2 linked regions of the Alligator mississippiensis genome follow. The protein of the gene in region 2 binds, or shares a complex with, the protein of the main gene of each other region. Links are inferred from orthologs where the notes say so. Each region holds a gene or a part of one and is shown on either strand. Other genes may lie near its edges. The genes, in order: RAP1B and RASIP1.

Region 1 (10,098 bases), on a different chromosome or scaffold from region 2:
TTCTAGTTGTGGATCCAAAATAAGATTGAGGGATACCACAGAATGTGGTTCCCCTCCTCACTCAATCCAAAGAGTAACCTGTAACTGTTAGCTAATTTCCTTAAGTTCTCAAGCAGGCAGAGGGTGTAGCTGGTGAGTAAGAAGAATTATAGAGTCAAAGTAGAAGGCAAGACTGGTAAACAAAAACAGCTCTTGAATGACAGAGATGAGCTACAAATTAATTTTGTGTCCCACGAAAGGACTCCCAACCCAACCCAACCCACCCGCAGCATGAGCAGCTCTGTAAAAAACTGATTTAACTTCATCTTGGAAAGGGGCCTTTTACTATAATACATTCAGTAGGGATGTTGATTTTCGCTAGATAGCTTCAACCATGTAGCCCTTGCTAAGTGCTGGTCTAACACATGGCAATTAACTGGTATAGCTACAAGAGAATAGTCATTCCACTGTAATGATACCAGCCAGTTTCTGTATAAGCACAAGGGAAAAACAAAAAAAGACTCAAAAGGTTCTTTAAGAACATATCCTAGACGTTTTAGTCAATGCTCTTTAACATGGTATTAGTAACTGGCACAGAAAAGGCTGAACAACTTACTCCTTGGAACAGCATTTAAGATATTTCACCTAACTTAAAAAAAGAGAAATAGATAGAAAAACTAGATCTAGAGAGTCTTTGAGGCCCTGACTCAAACACACCTGACCAGAGGAGGCGTCACATGCACTTGAAAGTTATTTCAGATAATGCTTCAACATTGTAGAACAGGAAGAAGATTGTGTAAAATCTCTCTGCCTTTGGTTCTGGTGTATCTGGCTGGACAGTATCTGCCCTAACTCAACAGGAACTCAGAGATCACAAAGCACATAGGTCCTAATGCCAAATGCATGCAATAGCTATGCAACCACACACCAAATGTACCTAATGCTATCATAATAAAGGAACTGCTAAATCTATTCTAAGTTAAAAAAGGGCAGGGAAATTTCCACTGAGAGTTGTGACAGTCTGAGGAATTTTAGTTTTTACAAGAAGCAAACTGAGGGTTTTCAACAGAGTATCCTTTAGGTACACACGGTGATGACAGGAGAGAGATTGCATTTAGATTCCTAGTAAACATTATGAACTGCTAGATGTTAACTAAGCTAACTACACTCCAGCACATCCTTTTTCCTTCTCTCAATCCTCTGAAAAGGTTCTATTTCCCCTCTCTCTCAGATTCGTACCTGTACAGCTACTGCTCCAGAATGACCCTTTTCCTTTTTGGTTCAGCCTGTCTTAACACATAAAGCTCTCACAGCATGAAACAGAGATTAAAGTAGGTGTGAGCCTTGCCAGTCTTGATGGACTGTCTGACAGTGGAGTTCTAAAAAGACTGCGCGGTTCTATCCAACATACTCTTTCCGCCCATACTGACCTGGCAGCTGAACCAAACACTATATAAAACCAGGGCACATGAAAGGAAATAACTTTCTTCTCTTTTATTCCTTCAGCTTGTATATTTTCAAGTCAGTTTCACAGTTTCTTTTACAGAGGCCTTTTTAAGGGGGGAAGAGAGACTGACTGACTGACTGACTGACTATGTAAAATAGTGGGAAGCCAGGAAAACTGCTAAGCAAACTCCAGGTTTATTCTTGAAGACAGAAATACACTTTTTCCAAGTTAGCAATAGTGAACTGATAGCATAGTTCTAGCCTGTAAGTAACAGGTCAAAAATTATTGCTGAGTTAGTCTTTACTAGGAGTAGGGTAAGGAGGGAAGGGCTGATCAAGTAGTCCTAAGCATGATCAATTTTATTGCAAGAGGTATTATGCAAGCAAGGCTTGAATACTTACAGTATCTATTACAACTTAAGTTCAAGACTCGTGGCTGTCTATAGCCTCCAGAAATCTCCTAACACCGTTAGATGGCATGTCCCTGCAATAGGCAGGAACCTAGAGAAGATGAACTGCTTTAACCAAACAGCCAATATCACTGCCAAAGTTTTTGCTACCCAGCAGTTACAGCAGCAGCCAGGGTGCATTTTACTGATCAGTTAGCAATCTCAGTTCTAGCCAGAAGGAAGAATACATTTTATACTGTAGACTCTTCCCAGTGAAAGGAGAAATAAGGAACCAGAATCCTGAACAAAGTAGATAAAAGCACTTAAAAGCACCCTGAATTAACTTCTTCCACTGGTTCCATTTAACAAAGGCATAAGTCAGTCATGAAGCCATTGCACAATTAAGGAAACCATTACTGTGAAGTTTACTGAAGGGTAGAAAAACCCTTTGCAGCCTCGAAGTATGACCTAGTATAACAAGGAACTGTGTCAGCCTTGTATCCAAGTATTTGTTGTACAGTACATGCATCAAGTAGGTTAGCAACACTTAATTAGGGCATCTCTGTTACAGGACATTTCTTGTTATAACTAAGAAATGAGTTTCCAATATCTTTTTTTGGAACAGAAATATTTAGGTGAACCTACGTTATAAAAAAAAAAAAAGCTTGGGAAAGCACCCCGTCCACTAGTTCACTGCTAAAACATTTGAAAGTGGAGCTGATGCATGTTGGAACTGAAACCAGACCTTTAAGGCAGCAAAATTCCTCTAGAAGAGACTGGTGTTCTGTACAATCACATTTTGGCCTAGATCAGTGATTGTCATCCTTTTTTGGACCAGGATCCATTTGCAAACATCAATAGCCAGTCTCAACTGAGTGCCTTCCGCCCCCAGCGTGCGGAACCAAGGGTAGCTGTGTAGGGCCTGTGGGGGGCCCCAAGCAGCCTCTTGCAGGCAGGAGCTCTGCCAGCCAGCAAGGGAAAACGCATGGTTTCCCACACTTTCCTCCTTTAAAGGAGAATCTGTTTTTAAAGTTTGTTTGTGACCATTTCATATATTCTTCTGACCCACTTTTGGGTCGTGACCTACCAGTTGAGAAAAGCTGGACTAGATGATGACCTCTGTAGGTCCGTTCCAGCCCAACTTATGATTCCTCTATGGTTTACTTAAGCAAACTTTGTAGAAACAACCCAACCCAGATTGTTAGAGCTGCCTGAACCAGACAATATCTATGACAAACGCTTAAGCGTTTTCCTTTGGACCCGGACGTTATTTCTTTAAAGGGACAGCTTGCAGGAAAGGGCGATACACAGCAGATCGGTAGAGGTTTCGTGGCCCGCCACCCCCTTCGAGCTGGCCAAGAGCCTAACACGCCCTAAACACAGCCCGGGGCTTATTCCACTGGGGCGCGGCGGGGGCTCCGGAGCCAGGGTCTGTTCAGGCCCCGACGACTCTCCGACGTGCTGCCCCCGACATCCGGGCTGCGAAGGCGACTGGGGGGAGGGGAGACGGGGGGACCCTCCGCAGGGCACCGCTCGGCGCAGCTCCGCACACAATAGCGCACGGGGGAGCGGAGACCCCGCGGCAACTTGGGCAGGACCCCGCGGCCGGGAGGGAGCTGCGGGCCCCTCCCCGCGGAGGGGCGCCCAGCCTAGGCGGGGCCGCGGGCTGCCGGGGCGCCGCCGCCCGACCCCGCCCCGCCGCCGCCTCGCAACTTTCCGCTTCCGCTACAACTTGGGCGGCGGCGGCGCCGGGCCGGGCCGGGGCCGCCTCCGCCATGTTCCCGCACTTGCCCCCCTACCATCGCGGCCCCCTCGGCCCCGGTCCCGGTCCCGCTCCCCGCCTGCCTACCTACCGGCCGGCACCGCCGCTGCCGCTGCCCGTGTGGCCTCCGGCCGGACGCGCCACTCCCGCGCGTACTCGCTGCCGCTGCTGGGCGAGGCTCGAGGCCGCCGCCGTGACGCCACACGCCTAGCCTCGCTCTGGCGTCCCCGGCGCGGCCTGGGGGCGGGGCAGGAAGCGCGCGGGGGGCGGGGGTGACCTCTCTACCCCCGGCTCACACTGCGCAGGCGCAGGCTGTCGCGGCGCCCTCCCCTCAGCGGGGTGGCGGTGTTGCGGCCGCCTAGTTCTAGCGGGCGGGAGAGCTTCCCCTATCGCCTGTCAGGGTTGCAGACAGCGGGACCGGCCCTCACCCAATGGGTGCAAGTGCCCCCGTGTCCTGAACCCCACTGGCAGAGACCTGGCCTGGCCTGGGTGGAAGGCCTCATTCTACACCCGCAGCATTGCTCTGTAACCGGGTCGCCCCTGCTAGCCACGGATGTGAGCCTCTTCTATGACTCAAAAACCTGTGAAACGTGCGTAAGAAAAACAAGTGCGAGGCCCCTGATTCTCAAGCACCTCAGATGCTCGCCCACATGGCAGCAGAAACCACACAACGCTATTGCTCTTTGCTTGCATTACTAAGCCTCCTGACAACTAGGGTCAGCCTCCACCGAAATCCACAGGGGATCTATTAATGTGGAAAGAACGGCAACGTGTCTTGGCTCTTCTCCCTGCTCCACATACGTTCATTTTCTATTAAATAATAGAAGATGCCTTTTTTTTCCCAAAAGTCACCAGGGCTCCTTTTCTCTCCAGATCAGAATGGGTTGGAAGAGTAAGTGTTAAAAATAAAGAAGACAGCTCTTCTGGGAAATGCTCAGTAGCGAGCAAACAGTTAATATGCCATGGCAGATAACACTTATTCAGAGGAAGTCTGCCACAGTGAGAAACTGACAGGAAGTTGCAATGGCGCTGCTGGCAGAGGGAGTGGGTGTGGAGGAAGCACACACTTTCTGTTTGTAGCGCAGAGATAGAGAAGGGGGGAAAAAAAGATTACATTTCCCTCCAAATGCATGGTAGTGGCGCATTACTTGCTGTAGTGCTTGGAGTCCATACAACGTAGAATAAACGTAGAGAAGAAGTGGCTAAAGTAGTCAGCAGAGTGACTAAGTCCACATTACGTGTCCTATCTACATTCAGGTCACCAAGTTCTTTTTACTTCTAAAAATAGTTTTCCTTAGGCCCTTGCACCAAAACTCCACAAAGTGTCATAAGATTTCTTCTCGGTCTTTTATGGCTAATCCCGTGTACAGCACTTGGATAATGAATCCCTATAAATGGCAGATCATTAAAGGGGACTCAGGCAGGGAGAAATTAAGTACATAGGCAGTTGCTCCCTTCTGGTCCACTTTTCAGGGTAAAAATCATTCATCTGGGAGATATTGGTTGCTTAACTAGATATATTTACAAGGAGATATTTTAAGTAAAATGATACTCTTGTGTTTCTTGGGACTATTAGTTTTGTATTATTTACTCTTAAAATAAGAATATTTGTGTTTTAGCATACTTTTATTCCTGTTTGTGTAATTTCCATCAGCTCCCTCAAACATCCAATAGATTAAAAGAGAACACTGAAATACATTTCCTGTGCCTTCTCTTAAAAAACATCCACAGCTTTCCTGCGTGAACTAATCACAAATAATAAATGCAGTACTTAGTGCTGATAGAAGTACTGCTAATCGCAGCAAAAAGGTAGCAATGGCTATAGTTAAGGTTACAAATTAGCTTCTATTATGATAATACCTTACCCACCCCAGCACTTTTCCTTACAGTGAGTTAAATCTTGCCCCTTTATTATACTATGGATGACACAGAAGAGCTTGAGGGAGTTTGTGAGAGTCTTTAAGCTTCATAACAGAGTTTCTTAGAAATCAGCTAATAAGAAGTATAGACATGCATAATGTGGACTCAGAACAGCAAATTGCTAAATATTACTACAGTTAGAAGAATTAGGCAGGTGGGATCTCACTTGTGGCAAAAGGCTGAGTCTACTTTCTCACCCGACCACACACTTGTAAGGTAACTGAAGTCTTTAAGTTTGAGAACTCTCAGCCAGCCCTCACAAAAATACTTAGGCCTGCCTTGATTATTTTCCCTCTATTCTGCACTGGTGAAGCCACATCCAGAGTGTCCAGTTTTGGGCCCCCCACTTTAGAAAGGATGTGGACAAGTTCGAGAGAATCCAGTAGAACACAATGGAAATGGCTAAGGGTCTGTGGCATATGACTTATGAGGGAACTGGGCTTATTTAGTCTGGAGAAGAGAAGACTGAGGGGGAATTTGATAGCACCTTTTAACTAACTGAAGGTTATTTCCAAAGATTTTATAGATTTCATAGCTATTAGGGCTGGAAGGGACCTCGGAAGATCATCAAGTCCAGCCCTGTGCCCCAGGGGCAGGAGGTCAGCTGGGGTCACAGGATCCCAGCAAGATAAACATCCAATTTTCTCTTGAAGGTATTCAAAGTAGGTGCTTGAACCAACTCCAATGGCAGGCTATTCCAGACCCTGGGGACTCGGACAGTAAAAAAATTCTTCCTTATGTCTAGCCTGAAACAGTCTTGCAGGATTTTATAACCGTTTGACCTTGTCATCCCTTGGGGCACTCTGGTAAACAAATGTTCACCCAGATCCTGGTGAACACCCCTGATAAACTTATAGGTGGCCATCAGATCACCCCTGAGCCTGCGCTTTTTCAGACAGTCCCATGGCTGTCAGCCTGTCGTCATAAGGTCTGTTTTCCTGACCTCTGATCATGCGCGTGGCTCTAATTGCACGTGGCTCTATGGATGGAGCTAGACTGTTCTCACTGGTGGCAAATGACAGAGCAAGGAGCAATGGTCTCAAGTTGCAGCAAGGGAAGTTTAGGTTGGATATTAGGAAAAACTGTCTCACTAGGAGGGTAGTGAAGCACTGGAAAAGGTTACCTAGAGAGGTGGTGGAATCTCCATCCTTGGAGGTTTTTAAGGCCCGAGTTGACAAAGCCCTGGCTGGAATGATCTAGTTGGAGATGGTCCTGCTTTGAGCAGGGTTTTGGACTAAATGACCTCCTGAGGTCCCTTCCAACCCTCACCGTCTGTGATTCTATTTACTGTGGTCATGGTGAACAGGTTTTGGGGGGGAGGCAACCAGTTTGTTTGCTAAATGCTCAGCTTGTTAAATGTTTCATATTCAACTCCATCAGCTGCTCTAGTGTGGATGTACCCACTATGAGATATAAATTATTGCTGAGGGAATGTCCTTTTTCTGTGCCTTTCTCCCTAGTACTGCTAGGATGGGTTACATCATATTTTCTCTGGAGAACTGTTATTGAGAAAGAAGCAGAACCTTATGTTCCCTAACCATTGCATGCAAGTGCCATGTCAAGAGAGACTCATTTCCCTGTTACCAAAGGTCCCTATATGCCTTTTTTTCTAAGTATCACTCAGTTTGGGGGCTCAAAATGATCTACTGCTACTCAACCAGCAAAATGATCTATTGCTACACAACCAGCCAACTCTCAGAGGCAGCAGAACATCCTACCTACAAATACTTCTACTACATGCTACAAGGGAAACTACCTAATATTTCCATTGCTATAGTTAAGAAAAACTGCAAGGCTCATATAGGGAATATTCTATAATGTTCTAGAAAGGAGGACTCATGGAGAGGGTGGGAGAGAAAAGACTGATGTATTTGAACATGGGAATCTTGATAGATTTAACTAGAAGCTTCAGTGGATTTGCTATGGTCAAAGTTCTTCCTGTGCCTAACAGCCCATAAAGTAATGTGGCTAAAGCATGCCAGTTCAGGCAGCCAGCATCAGTCAACTGCTTTTGATTATGTAGTCTGAAGGATCAGATGCCCATTTACAGCTGAGTCAACTGAAGACTTTCTTTAGCACAGAGCAAGGCTTGAACTCATGTTTCTACAGCCAAAGTAAGATACTACCACTGTTCTGCCATTGCATCTGTATTCTCAGGTCTGCAGTGGGTAAAATGTGGACTTGATAGATTATTTTGGGCAGAGAGGAGAGTATGAAATGGATGGACTTTTGGGGACACAGGGGAATATGTTCTTAAAGAGCTCCTTGATGAAAGGTTAGCAGCATATCCCTGAGTTACCCCCGGGCACCTTTTCTAACTTTATTGTTATTATTCTCAGTAAAGCTGCAAGGCCGTAGCAGGACAAAATGTAGTGCTGTCTGTATATTTCACCTTCATTACACCTAAATACAGGGGCTGAGGTGGCATGTGCGCTAAGGCACACTGTTGACAGCCCAAAAGATTGCCCCAAAATTTGAGGCAATAGCAGAAGTGCTCACTGTTCTTTGCAAGCAACTCTGAAGTTTAATGACCACGTGTCCAAGAATATTAAGACAATTGCTTGCCAGTTAACTACTGTGGACTTTCTATAAATTTGTCCCAAAGGGAATGAAAATATCACTTGCTCTTTCTGGGTAGATTCTTTGCTTTTAGAAGAAGGAAAATCCTTGTTTTGTGAGTGAAATGAAGGGCTGAATTCCTAGCTTGAAACCTCAGTTTAAGAGAGCAGATTGTGGTGTTATGGTGGGAACAAACACTCCAATTCTCAAGAAAGTGATAACAGTTTTATTAGTGAACACAGAGCCAGATTTATAGAGGGATTTAGGCCTCAGCATCGCCATGTCTAACTTTTAGGTGCTTGGGTACTGGAGTGGGGAAGAATTAGGAACCTAGGAATGGGATTCACAATAGCAATTCATTGAGTTGAGAGGATGCCTATGCACCGAAGAAAGAAACGTGTCTCAAATCTTTCCTCTCTCCTTGATTTGCATATCTACATGAGACTAGGATTTGGATTCAAACATCCAAGTGGTCCCTTAGTGTCACTCATTTTTATGATGTTAATGGTGGTGGTTGCAGGCCTCTTAATAACCTATTGAGTACAGCACTTGCCCAGATGTCTAGTACCATATCAACTGGGAGGATTCAAACTTACATTTCCCACATCACAAGAGATTAACCTAACTGCCAGGGTTAGTTGAGACAGGGCCTTTTTCCAGCTTTTCCTTTAAATCTGTGCCACTGTTCAGAAAGGAATATGATTACTGTAGCCAGATATAGAGGAAGCATGACTGCAGTCCAGTGATAAGGGCACTGCCCTGAGAGGCCATATCTAGTTTACACCTCAGACTTACCATGTGATGCAGCAGTGTGCTCTGCATGCTGTTACATGTGCGTTACCTCCCAAACTAGAAGTAATGTAGCCTTGCCTGGCTCCATGGGTGGTTTAATTAGCACCATGTTTTGTGCTGTAGACGTGCCTTTAGATTCTTATGACCTTTCAGGTTTAAAACCCCTAATGGTCAGGCTGGGTTTTTCTGGATAATTCACTTGGATTTAGATGCCTAAAATGCACTTTAGGGCTGTGTCCAGACAAGCGCAGCCGTGCAGTATGTGGCACCACAAACATGTCTTTGGTACCACATACCGCACAGTCAAGTGTTCTCTATGCTTCAAGGTAGGAGCAAGCGGGGGGGGGGAAGGGAGATGCCAGGGCCAAAAAAACCCATCACAAAAAGAAATAAGGGTGGTGCACACAGGCACAGCATATGCCACCCAAAACCAGAGCCTGGCCACCCAGAGCCACACTTCAGTTGCCACCCATGTGCCGAGCAGCAGAATTGCCCCTGCTGCAGCCCCAGGAGGCCCTCTGGACCCAAGGTAAGGTTGCTGGGGCCAGTCCAGTGCTGGCCCCAGCCTCCCCTACCTCACCTGGGGTAACCTGCCATGCACCAAAGGGTGCATGGCACAAACATTCCCCAGGGACAACTAGCAGAGGTACAAGGTGTGCCGCTGCTTCTTGTCCCCAGGGAAACAAACATCCATGCTTGTGTAGATGTGGCCTAGGAGTGCGTATAACCATTCACCACACCCAGTCTACGTTCAAGTGGCTTACTTTAAGCCACATGTATATAGACCAGGAGTGGTGCATTCTGGTCCCAGGAGTCACATGGGGAAACGAGAATAAGTAACTTGGGGTTGAGTGAGGGGTGGATGGAATTGCAGAGGCTAGCAAATTGAGGAGGAGGATGGCGGGTGTTAGAGAGGGGTGTCCCTCTCAGGGTTGGGGAGTCAGGAGCTAAAAACAGCTTGCTCAGGGTTGAGGGGGTAGGAAGAGCACAGCCCTGGGGGTGGGGTGAGCAACTGGGGCTGCACTCCAAATGCACACAGGTGTTTGATAGATCAGGTTAACCCATTCCTGATCTAAGAACTAACTTAGATTGGGCCGACCATTTTTTGCCAGATTTAACCCCCCTGAATGCCTGCACAGATGATCATTTAGACTGACCTAACCTAGTGAGGTTGATGTAAATGTAATGGCTGTAGATACTTTTGGTGTAAGTCCTTTTTTGGATTTTGCCTATAGATGTTCTTTACAATAC
Region 2 (9,663 bases):
GCAGCTCAAAGCACACTAAAAACCTGTTACAGTTCACACTGCGCAACCGCGTGCCCATACACCTATCTCTATACTCATACCCCCACCCACTGCCCTCCTCAGAGGGTCTACTCCTGAAAAAGTCTATGCCAGACCCCTCTCCAGATGAGGTCTGCCATTTCTCTCCCATCATCCTCTTCTGTCTTCCTATAATACCAGTACATTTTGCTTAGTCCCATTTTAATACAGTCCTCGACTATGGGGTCTGAGTGTCTGTTTATGAACAGGTTCCTGGTTTTCCACAGTGCGTACCTGAAGCAGGATATGAACTGGTCGAAGTGAGCTGTTGGGGTCCCTTGCTGTCTGGTCAGGTGCCAGTAGAGAGCCACTTCCCTGGTCAGATTTCTGAAACCTGTCACCACCAGGAGGAGCACACGGACTTTCTTCCACACCTCCTTGGCATATAGGCAGTTCCAGAAGAGGTGGTCAATCCTTCCTGCCTGCCAGCAGCAGGTGGGCCTCAGGCAGTTTGATGGACCTCTCTGCCCTGCACTGTTTTTCTGTGCCTGCACGGGGAGTGCTTGGTGGGCTGCTTGCCAGTTCAGGTCTCTGTGCTCCTTCTGCAGGTCTTTGTGGAAGATTCGCTCCCACATGGCCTGGCAGCTCTCACCAGGTAGTAAGCCTACTGGTGATGTGGTGTCTCTTGCCCTTGCCACCTCCCATATCTTGCAGTGGTTCACCAGGGTTGCTAGGGTAGCATCGTGCAGCTTGTATTTCTCTTGAAAGCACTTCAGGATCTTGTAAAACCATAGGGAAAGCATAGTCCACAGCTCCTGTTAGTTGTTGTGTGCACTTGCCACTTGCAGCAACTGCCCTGCAAAATGCTTAACAAAGCTGGCTTTTTTAGATTCCACCCCTGTTGCCATTTTGCAAACCTGGCTCATATATTTGGCCCAGAGGAAGAGAAGGACGCGTGGCATCCCTCTGCCTCTGGACTGTTTTGGTTTGTACTGCTTGGCCCTCGCCACTTTCTCCCATGTGGAGTTCCAAAAGAAAACACACATGGCTCTCTGGATTCTGCGAACGACTTGTTCTGATGGGGGAAGACTAGAGCGGTGTGTCTAGGCAGGAGCAACGTCTTCATCAGCGCCATCTGCCCCTGCATTGACAGGCAGTGTGATTGCCATAGCCCCAGCCTCTGTCTGGCCTTGGCTTCCATCTTCTCCCATGCCCTCGGCCCCGCCAGCTCTGGGTCAAACTCCACCCCGAGGATCTTTACCCCTTCCTGGGGGATGGAAACCCCCAGGAGTGGTCCTCGAGCTTACCCAGGAAAATCTGCAATGGAAACAAAGGCTCCTCACTGCAGTGCCCTGTCTGTAACAGCAGCTTCATTCTTTGGGTGAATCTGTCCATCCCTTCTGGGGCAGTGGGCAAGCAGGGACTCAAGTTCATACAGAAGCTAAGACTGCGACACAGGCATAAGGTTACAATGGCTGAGCATGTCTGCTTTCCTTCCTCACAGCAGAAAGAAAGCGCAAGCTGCAAAGCAAAACTAACTGCATGGGATGCCAGGTACGGCTGGGTTTTCTGTTCTTTAAGCACTTGGCCACCCAAACACCCTCTCTCTAGTCAGCTCCTTGTTCAGTGCATTTGTATCTTGAAATCCAGCTGATACCAGAGCCTACCATGATACTGGGTGCTGTCTTGCCCTGCTCTGAGACCCATTGTAGACTATCCTGCAAAGCACCCATTACTGGGAACATCCCACACAGCCAGTGCTCCTGCCCCATGACCTCCCACAGCACCCCTAGCTGGGATTCAGGCAAGTTATTCTTAGGTGGTCCCTCCTGGATGATAGTGGTTTACTGTCTTACAGGGACAAAAGGATGGAGGAAGGCTTGGATGGGTGAATGCACTGCCCTGCCATGGATTTTCTATAGGCGGGACAGGCAGGAGCAACCCTGTCAGAAGAACCCAGAGGGGCCCAGCTGCTGCAAGCTCAAGAAGCCAGATAGATAGAAGCAGGACCAGTTCTCATATTAAATACTTTCACTGTGAAACTGTTACACCACTGGACCCATGGGCCGGCTGCAGGGCTTTTGGGGGAGTTGTGCTGTGAGAGGTTAGCTGCACAGGGGGCACCTGGCTGCAAGGAGCAGGCCAAAGATGGGGCATCATGCTTGGAGGAGCTGGGAAAGGGGAGCCATGTTTGGGGAGCAGAGCAGGGAGCGTCATGCTGTGGGGAGTGGAGGGGGGGCAGGTACGCTCTCCCCTCTGCTGGGTCTCAAGGGAGTGGGGGAGTCTGTATGGCGGCTTGTGGGGGGGGGGGGGGTGCTGGGAAGGTCCTGGGAATAGTCTTGTAGTGGGCTGTGCACACATGGGGGGGAAGCAGGGTGGGCGTGGGGTAGCCCTCATTTCAGAAAGCTGTGGGAAACCATGGATCCCCTGTGTGGGGGCTGGGGCAGCTGCTCGGGCATGGAGAGACGCCATCAGGACGTCATGGGGGTCTGGGGTAAGCAGTGAGGGGAACAAGGGAGTTCTGTGGTGGGGCGTGGGGAGAGCCCACGAGTTGGGCTTGTGGAGGCTGGGGGGAAGAGGGGATGTGAAGGGCCAGGGAGGGGACAAGCTGAGTGTTGGGGTAGGTGGTCAAGGGGCAGCAGTAGGGGTTGGGGGCTGAGGAGGGCAGTTGTGGGGGCTGTGGAGTCCTGGTGTGGGGGCAGGGCTTTGGAGGGAAATCGTGGGGGAGCTGAGGGGGGCCATGGTTGCGGCAGGGGGAACCCTGAGGTGTGGGACTGTAGTGAAACTGAGGACGGCGACTCCCTGCTGTGGTTGGCACAGCAGGAGCTGGTGCTGCCCTGGGCTGCTGCGCTGCTGCGCCTCTGGCAGGGATTGTTGTGGGGGGAGGCCATGTTTGGGGGGCACCTGGGTGGGGTCTTGGGGCAGGGAGCGACTGCCCCTCCCTGTGCTCTGATTGGCTGAGCAGCCCCTGCCCCCCACAAGGAGCGCCCCCCTCCCCTGCCCCCCAGAGGGTTCCATGGCAGTTGCCAGTGATGGGTGGGGCTGGGACATGCCCTGGGCTCTGATAGGCTGGGACATGCCTTGGAGGGAAAATTCAGCCAATAGGATCTGGGGGGGCTAGATCCCTCCCTGCTCCTGCACCTCAGTCAGCAGTGTGACTCCCCCAAGGCAGGGTGGGGGTGTGGGTGAGGAGCAGGGAAGGGGGCCATGGTCTTGTGGGGGAGGGGTAGGGGGGGCACAGGGGCGTCACACCCTCCCCTTCCCTGCTGGGGGCCCCGGGCCAAGGCCCTAGTGAGCATCATCAGGGGAGGGGGCTCTGGGTGGCCGGGGTGAGTCATCAGGATGCCTGGGTCCTCTCCCAGCTCTGGGGGGCAGCAGGCCTGAGCTGTCCTACCTCCTCCCTTCCCAGAATTCCCAATGGTTGGGCACAGTGAGATGCGGCCCCCAGCGGGGCCCCAGGGCAGCTACCTGACAGCGCCCTTCGACCCCCGCTTCCCCAACACCAACCAGACCCGCAACTGCTACCAGAACTACCTGGGTGAGCAGCGGCCATGTCGGGCAGGACCGCGGGGCCTTGGTGGGGGAAGGGGCTGGGAGCCAAGACACCTGGGCTCTGTTTCCAGTGCGGGGAGGAGGTGGGGGCAGGAGTGGGGGCGCGGGGGTTGGGCAGTGGCAGCCCCACCTGGTGCCCCTTGCAAGTGGTGAGGAGCTGTGGCGGGGCTGTCCTTGCAGACTATCATCGCTGCATGAAGGTCCTGACAGCAAGGGGCAGGGACACCAAACCGTGCCTGTGGTATTACCGTGTCTTCACGTCGCTGTGCCCCTTATCCTGGGTAGGTAGGGGATGAGGCAGGGCCACCAGTTCTTTGCAAAGAGGCTGCCCCCCACTCCACCACCCCCTGAGCTGGCCATTCCCCGACCCTGGATCAGAGTCACTGCTCCCTAGAAGGGAAAGGACCCTGGCCCTGTCCTCCCTCCCTGAGCCAGATCAGGTCAGGTCAGGTGCTGTGGGGGGGAGAGGGACTGCAAGGGGGTGCTTTCTCTGGGTCACCATCCCCTCCTGTCCCTGAACAGCTGTCCATCTCCCCCAGGTTCAGCACTGGGATGAACAACAGGAAAAAGGGAGCTTCGCTGGCAAGATCTAAACCCCAATGTGCCTACCTGAGGGGCAGAATAGTTGGCCATCAGCCTTGTGTGTCCTTCTCTTTGTCCTACCCTTCCAACACAGCCCTCAGTCTCTCTCAGTGGGCTTGCAATAAACCCTTGTTGCATTTCAGGTCTTACTGAAGTCTGTTTGTCTTGCCCGCCCCCCCACCCCGCTCTCAGCCAAGGACAATTCTCTTCTTGCCAAGGTGGCAGGGTTATAACAGAAGGAGGAGGCTATGGGTTCAGTCCCCACCCAGGGGACCTCCACAGCCAGCACATCCCAAATCCATCACTGGGGTATTGGGGGCAGAATGGGACCCCCTGGGTGGTGGTCATAGGCAGTGTAGGAGCAGTGAGGGAGCTGCTACAAGTCTTTGCTATGCTGACAGCCTCCCAATCACGCCAAATGCAGTCATGCACATCCTGGGTTGTAGGGAGCATGTGCACACAGCCAGCAGGCCTGCCCACTGGCAACCTGTCCAGCCCTTCAGAGCCCTGTGTCAACTATATGCATTGCATGCTTCAACATGCATGCTTTAACACACACCGTATGTCTCCAAATGCGAACTGCATGCTTCAGTACATGCATTGTGTGCCTTGCCATATGCACTGCCTCTGAACACCTCAATATGGACTCACACTACAAACCTCTCTGCAGCCTGCACTGCATACCACTTCAACTTACACACATACACAAGCAAACCCACAGGCTACACAGCACCATGACATTCACACACATGATGTAAATGGCTTCACCAACATGCAGGCGCTCTGCGCACCCTCTTGACTCTCTTATACGGATACACTGCTGACCCCTGCACAAGAACACTTGCACTTCACACTCTGACAACATGCATGCCCAACATCTCCTTGCTTGGGCTCTCTGGCCCTGAAATCCCTTTGGCTCTGCCCCTGCCCCTTCTCCCTCCCACCCTATAGCCAAAGCCCTTTGACTGGGCATGAATCTGTGCTCCCAGCCCCCGCCCTGGCGCAGAGGCTTGGCTTCCTGGCTGGCTCGCCTTTTCCTGCCCCCCACCCCCTAACTACACTGGCCGTGTGAGTGTGAAGGGAAATCCGTGCTCAGTGACACGGGAGAGCTGAAGGCAACGCATCAAGACAAAGGCTGGGAGCAAGGCTGAGGTTTCAGCCGCCACAGGGCCATGGAGCTGCCCAGGGAGCACTTGGAGGATCTCTGAGAACAGGGACTCGACCACGGTGCCCACGCTGGGCACAGCCAGATCCCGGACAGCACTGGGTAACTTCTCCCATCTATATGATTTGGGGGGAGGAGGGGTGTGAACTTTAAGGCAGGTGGAAACCCTGGGAGCTGGGCCACTGAACCTTGAGACAAACATCCCAGAGACTGTGCTGGGCCAAGCTGGGAGAGACTCAAGAGTACTCATTCCCACTTCTCTCTCTCTAACTCACCAGGCTCCATTCCCTTCCCTGAGCCTGGACAGAACCTAAAAGTGTCCAGGCTCTCAGCTCCCCTCCCTAGTAGCTGGGATGGAACCCAGGCCCCCAACCCCACCCCAGTTCTAATCCTAGACTCCACTTCCCTTCCAGAGCCATGACTGAACCCATCCTGGCTCCCATCCCCCTACTCTAACTTTAGACCCCACTGCCAAGCTGGAAAAGAACCCAGACATCCTGGCTATCAGCACCCTACTCTAACCCACCAGTCTCCATTTGCCTCCATGAGATGGGATAGAACTCAGGTGTCCTGCCTGCATAGCCAGGCCACTTTGTAGATTTACACTGGGGTCCCTGGTGCCAAGCCCCATCGCCCAGGCATGAGGACAGTGTTTGGGTCAGCTCAGATCTGAACATTCCCAGAACTCCTTCCTAGCTTATGGATCCTATAGCCCTCACACTCCCCTGCTTCAAATCCAGTTGTCCCTGGGGCAGAACATAGTTGGGTGGGAATTATAATGGGGCACACACCACTTCCCATTGACTTTTTTCTGTCCTCCCTTCCCCCCACGTTAGGTGAGAGCTCCACATTGATGAAGCAGTGGTAGAAAGGAACAAGGCCGAAAGGCATTAGGTCTGTTTCAGCCCCCATGAGGATGAGGGCTGGTGGACAGGACTCCTGGGTTCTGTCTGAGCTCAGTGGGATCCAGTGGGGTTAGATCAGAGGGACCATGAGTCAGGATTCCTGGTTTGTACTCCCCACTAGCTTAGTTCAGAAAATGAGAATTCCATTGCCAGGAACCTCTTGTGGTTTCAAAGTCTGTTGCTCCGATAGAGTGGACAGAGAGGGAGGCTTCCCCAGCAAGGCCAGAGAGCCAGTGAGGCCACTATCCAGTACGTAGGACTACCTATTCTTGACTGCCAGGTCCCAATAGGATGCAAATTACTACCTAATTATGCTTAAAGCTGACCGCTGATTTTATTGCAAAGACACAACCTGTGGGCCACAGGGGGCCCCACAGATAAGCCCCCCTTTTTGGTGTAATTATGTTTCAAACCAGATTATTTTTCCTATTTTTGACAGAATTTTAATTGCAAATTATTGTGGGTTTGCTTCTTTTTCATTCAAAATCAGTTCTTGGCCATTTTCTCCTTAGATTCCTGCTAACATTCACTACATCTTTGACAGATTTTGGTAAACCCATTTTTTAAAATCCTTCTTTGGTTAAACTGATTTTTTCCTACCTGTTTTTGCTTGCTTGAACAAAAAAGAACACATTTTTTTTCTTTTTTTTGGGGGGGGGGTGGAATCCCTTGGAGGAGCTGGGGGTCCTGCTGCTGTGACAAAGCATCTAGAAAGTGGACAGTTAATGCTCCTTGGGCTACAGCACAGCTTCCCCAGTCAGAGCCAGAGAGAAACAGGTGCCCTGGTTCCTAGATCCCCTGCTTGAACCCACTAAATTCCACTCCATCCCAGAGCTGTGGAAGAACCCAGGAATCCTGACTCCCAGCCTCTTGCTCTAACACACCAGATGGTTTAGAACAGGGGTTTGGGAGCCAGGATGTCTGGGTCCCACTGGGGTGCAGTGGGGCTGCCCCAAAGCTCCAGGCTGCTTAGGTCGCCAGGAGGAAGAAGGCTGTGTCCTCTAGACACCCATGATATGTTCACTTGCTATGGCTTCCTACAGATGTGATTGGGGTGACATAGTGGGTGTTAACTCACCCTCCCTGACAACTTCACAGGGAGGGGCTCCAAAGAGAACTCCAGGTGTCCTGGCCTTCAGGTCTGTACTTTGACCACTGGGCAATGAGTTGGTCCAGTGACTTAGAGCTGGGTGCTGGACTCATGGCTTCTATTCCAACATTGGCAGAGGAATGAACTCTGGTGGGGTCTGCGAAGGGACTGGGAGTCTGCCCTCCTGGGCTCTAGTCAGGAAGTAGTATGTAATATGTTAAAGAAGGGGCTGAGATTCTGGATTCCTGGGTTCTGTCTATGGTTCTTTGTTAGACTTTGAGCTCTCTTCTTCCCCTACCCTCCCATCAGTGCCCTGCCCTCATCTATATTCGCTCATGCTTATGGCCTCAAAAGGCTGGAAATGCCATTGCAAGAATTAAGAACAGAGATCTTTGAGTGGAAACAGAGGGGTAAGGCACTGCATGTGCGCACGCCTCTGTCTGTATGTCACTGTGTCTGTGCATGTGGCGTTGTGATTGGGTGTGTCATGGCACAGATAACTGTGTATCTGTCATTGTGGAAATGTGTTACTGTCACTGTGATACTGTCAATGTGATACTGTTTTTCTTTATCTCTGTTAGTGTGCATTCAGTGTAATTTAAGTCTGTCTGTGCATTTCATTGTGTCACTGTGTGATTGTGTGTCATGCTTATGCGTTCGTATCACAATGAGTATCATGTCTGGATTTGCATCACTGTGTGCCCTTTCTCATGATATGTGTATCACTTTGTGCGTATGTCACTGGGTGATTGTATATGTATACAACTATGTGTTACTCTGATTATAGATGCGTATTGCTGAATTGGTACATGTCATCATGTGATTGCATATGTGTCACTGTGCATGTATGTTCCTATCATTGCATATGTATAGCTCTGATATAATGTGTCATTTTGTGACTTCATCCATGTGTCCCTGTGCACATATATTGCTGCGTGATTTCCTATGTGTGTCCATGTGCATATGATCATCCTTGTGTGTGTTACTGTGTGACTGCTTATGTATGTCATTGTGTGATTACACATAAGGTTCCTATGCGTGTGGCTGTGTTGCTGCCTGTTTGTCATGCTGCTGCCTCCCGCAGGTGCTGACAGAGCTGGCACCATGTTCCCAGAGGAGCGGAAGGATGGGAGCCCGCGCTTCGGGAAACTCCACTTCCCGGTTGGCCTTTGGATCAACTCACCCAAGAAGCACTTTGCCAAGATGAGCCGCAGATGGCCGAGCGTGGGCTCTGTTAAGTAAGAGCCCCCCCATAACTGCCCCATCCCTGCCCTAGACCAGCACCATAGGCCCATCTACCCTGGTTTCCTGCCCCCCTTTGTGCCCTGCATCAACTCCACATGCCCATCTATCCTGGCATCCCACCCCTCCTTGCTCTAGATCAGACTCACCAGCCCATCTATCTCAGCATCCTAGCCCCTCCTCACCCCACAGGCCCATCTAACAGGACCCAATATTCCACCTTCTCCCTTTTCAGATCCACCTCCTCTGATACAGCAAGCCGGGGCAGTGAGACAGTAGAGCTGCGCCCACCAAGCAAGACGAAGCCAAGCCGGCACAAGCGGCTGTCTAACCTGTTCCACCGCAGTGTGAGCAGCACGGGGGTGGGCACAGCAGGTGCTGGTGGGCGCTGGGCTAGTGAGAAGAAGCTATCTGACCTCATTGACCCGGTACCCGAGGACCTGGTGGAGCTTTCAAGCCAGCGCAACCTGCCAGGCATCCTCAAGATTTTTGGTGGGGACATATCCTGTGGGGCCAACTACAAGAGTGTGCTGGCCACGCCACGCTCCACAGCACACCAGCTGGTGCGTGAGGCACTTGAACGCTATGGCGTGGCACCAGGTGATGGTGAGGAGGACACAGTGGGTGGCTACATGCTGTGTGATGTTGTGGGGCGCTTCACAGGGCCTGGCGGGGCCTGGCAGGCTGAGCACTTGCGCCCTGTGGGTGACACCGAGCGGCCTCTGGTGCTGCAGGATGTATGGAAGCCCAAGGCTGGCTGCTCGCGACGCTTTGAGATCCGGCGCCGGCGTGAGGTGGAACGCGCCTTCGAGGCCGAGGACAATGAGACAGCGGGTGAGGCTACCCCTTGTCATGGAGCTGTAGCCTTGTCCCCACTAGGATCCACCCAGAGCTCAGTCCCGTTGCCTGATTCCCACAGTCCTGGACTCACCCAGAGCCCACTCCCCAGGACCCACATTCCTGGAGTCACCGTGGTACCAGCCCCTACTCTGAGTCTCAGCCAGACTAAGCTCTGACAGGACCACAGCCTTGGGGCTCACAGTGGCCTCCATCCTGCAAGAACTCACAGTCCCAGGCTCCCCCACCCATCCTGCTACCCTGCCATATCCTTGTTCCCAGATCTTCCTCAC

Evidence for each region.
Region 1: the proteins of RASIP1 (region 2) and RAP1B are in contact, whole or in part, in a crystal structure (PDB 5KHO), measured with the Homo sapiens proteins. The link is inferred for Alligator mississippiensis from reciprocal best matches to the Homo sapiens genes RASIP1 and RAP1B. Residues at the interface, in NP_060275.2 of Homo sapiens: Val147, Lys149, Ala156, Ser157, Gly158, Ala159, Asn160, Tyr161, Lys162, Ser163, Val164, Leu165, Glu181, Arg182; in NP_001010942.1 of Homo sapiens: Val24, Gln25, Asp33, Pro34, Thr35, Ile36, Glu37, Asp38, Ser39, Tyr40, Arg41, Glu54, Leu56, Phe64.

Annotation. Positions count from the first base shown.
Region 1 is NC_081827.1:69,295,475-69,305,572, reverse strand, and holds the start of RAP1B (ras-related protein Rap-1b), read right to left. Parts: upstream 3,823-10,098; 5' UTR 3,664-3,822; intron 1-3,663. UniProt on the Homo sapiens protein: GTP-binding protein that possesses intrinsic GTPase activity. Contributes to the polarizing activity of KRIT1 and CDH5 in the establishment and maintenance of correct endothelial cell polarity and vascular lumen.
Region 2 is NC_081828.1:74,898,937-74,908,599, reverse strand, and holds the start of RASIP1 (ras-interacting protein 1), read left to right. Parts: upstream 1-5,210; 5' UTR 5,211-5,398; intron 5,399-8,375; 5' UTR 8,376-8,395; coding exon 8,396-8,529; intron 8,530-8,768; coding exon 8,769-9,367; intron 9,368-9,663. Other genes in the region: cytochrome c oxidase subunit 6B2, read left to right, coding at 2,416-2,491, 3,407-3,535, 3,730-3,830, 4,089-4,142. UniProt on the Homo sapiens protein: Required for the proper formation of vascular structures that develop via both vasculogenesis and angiogenesis.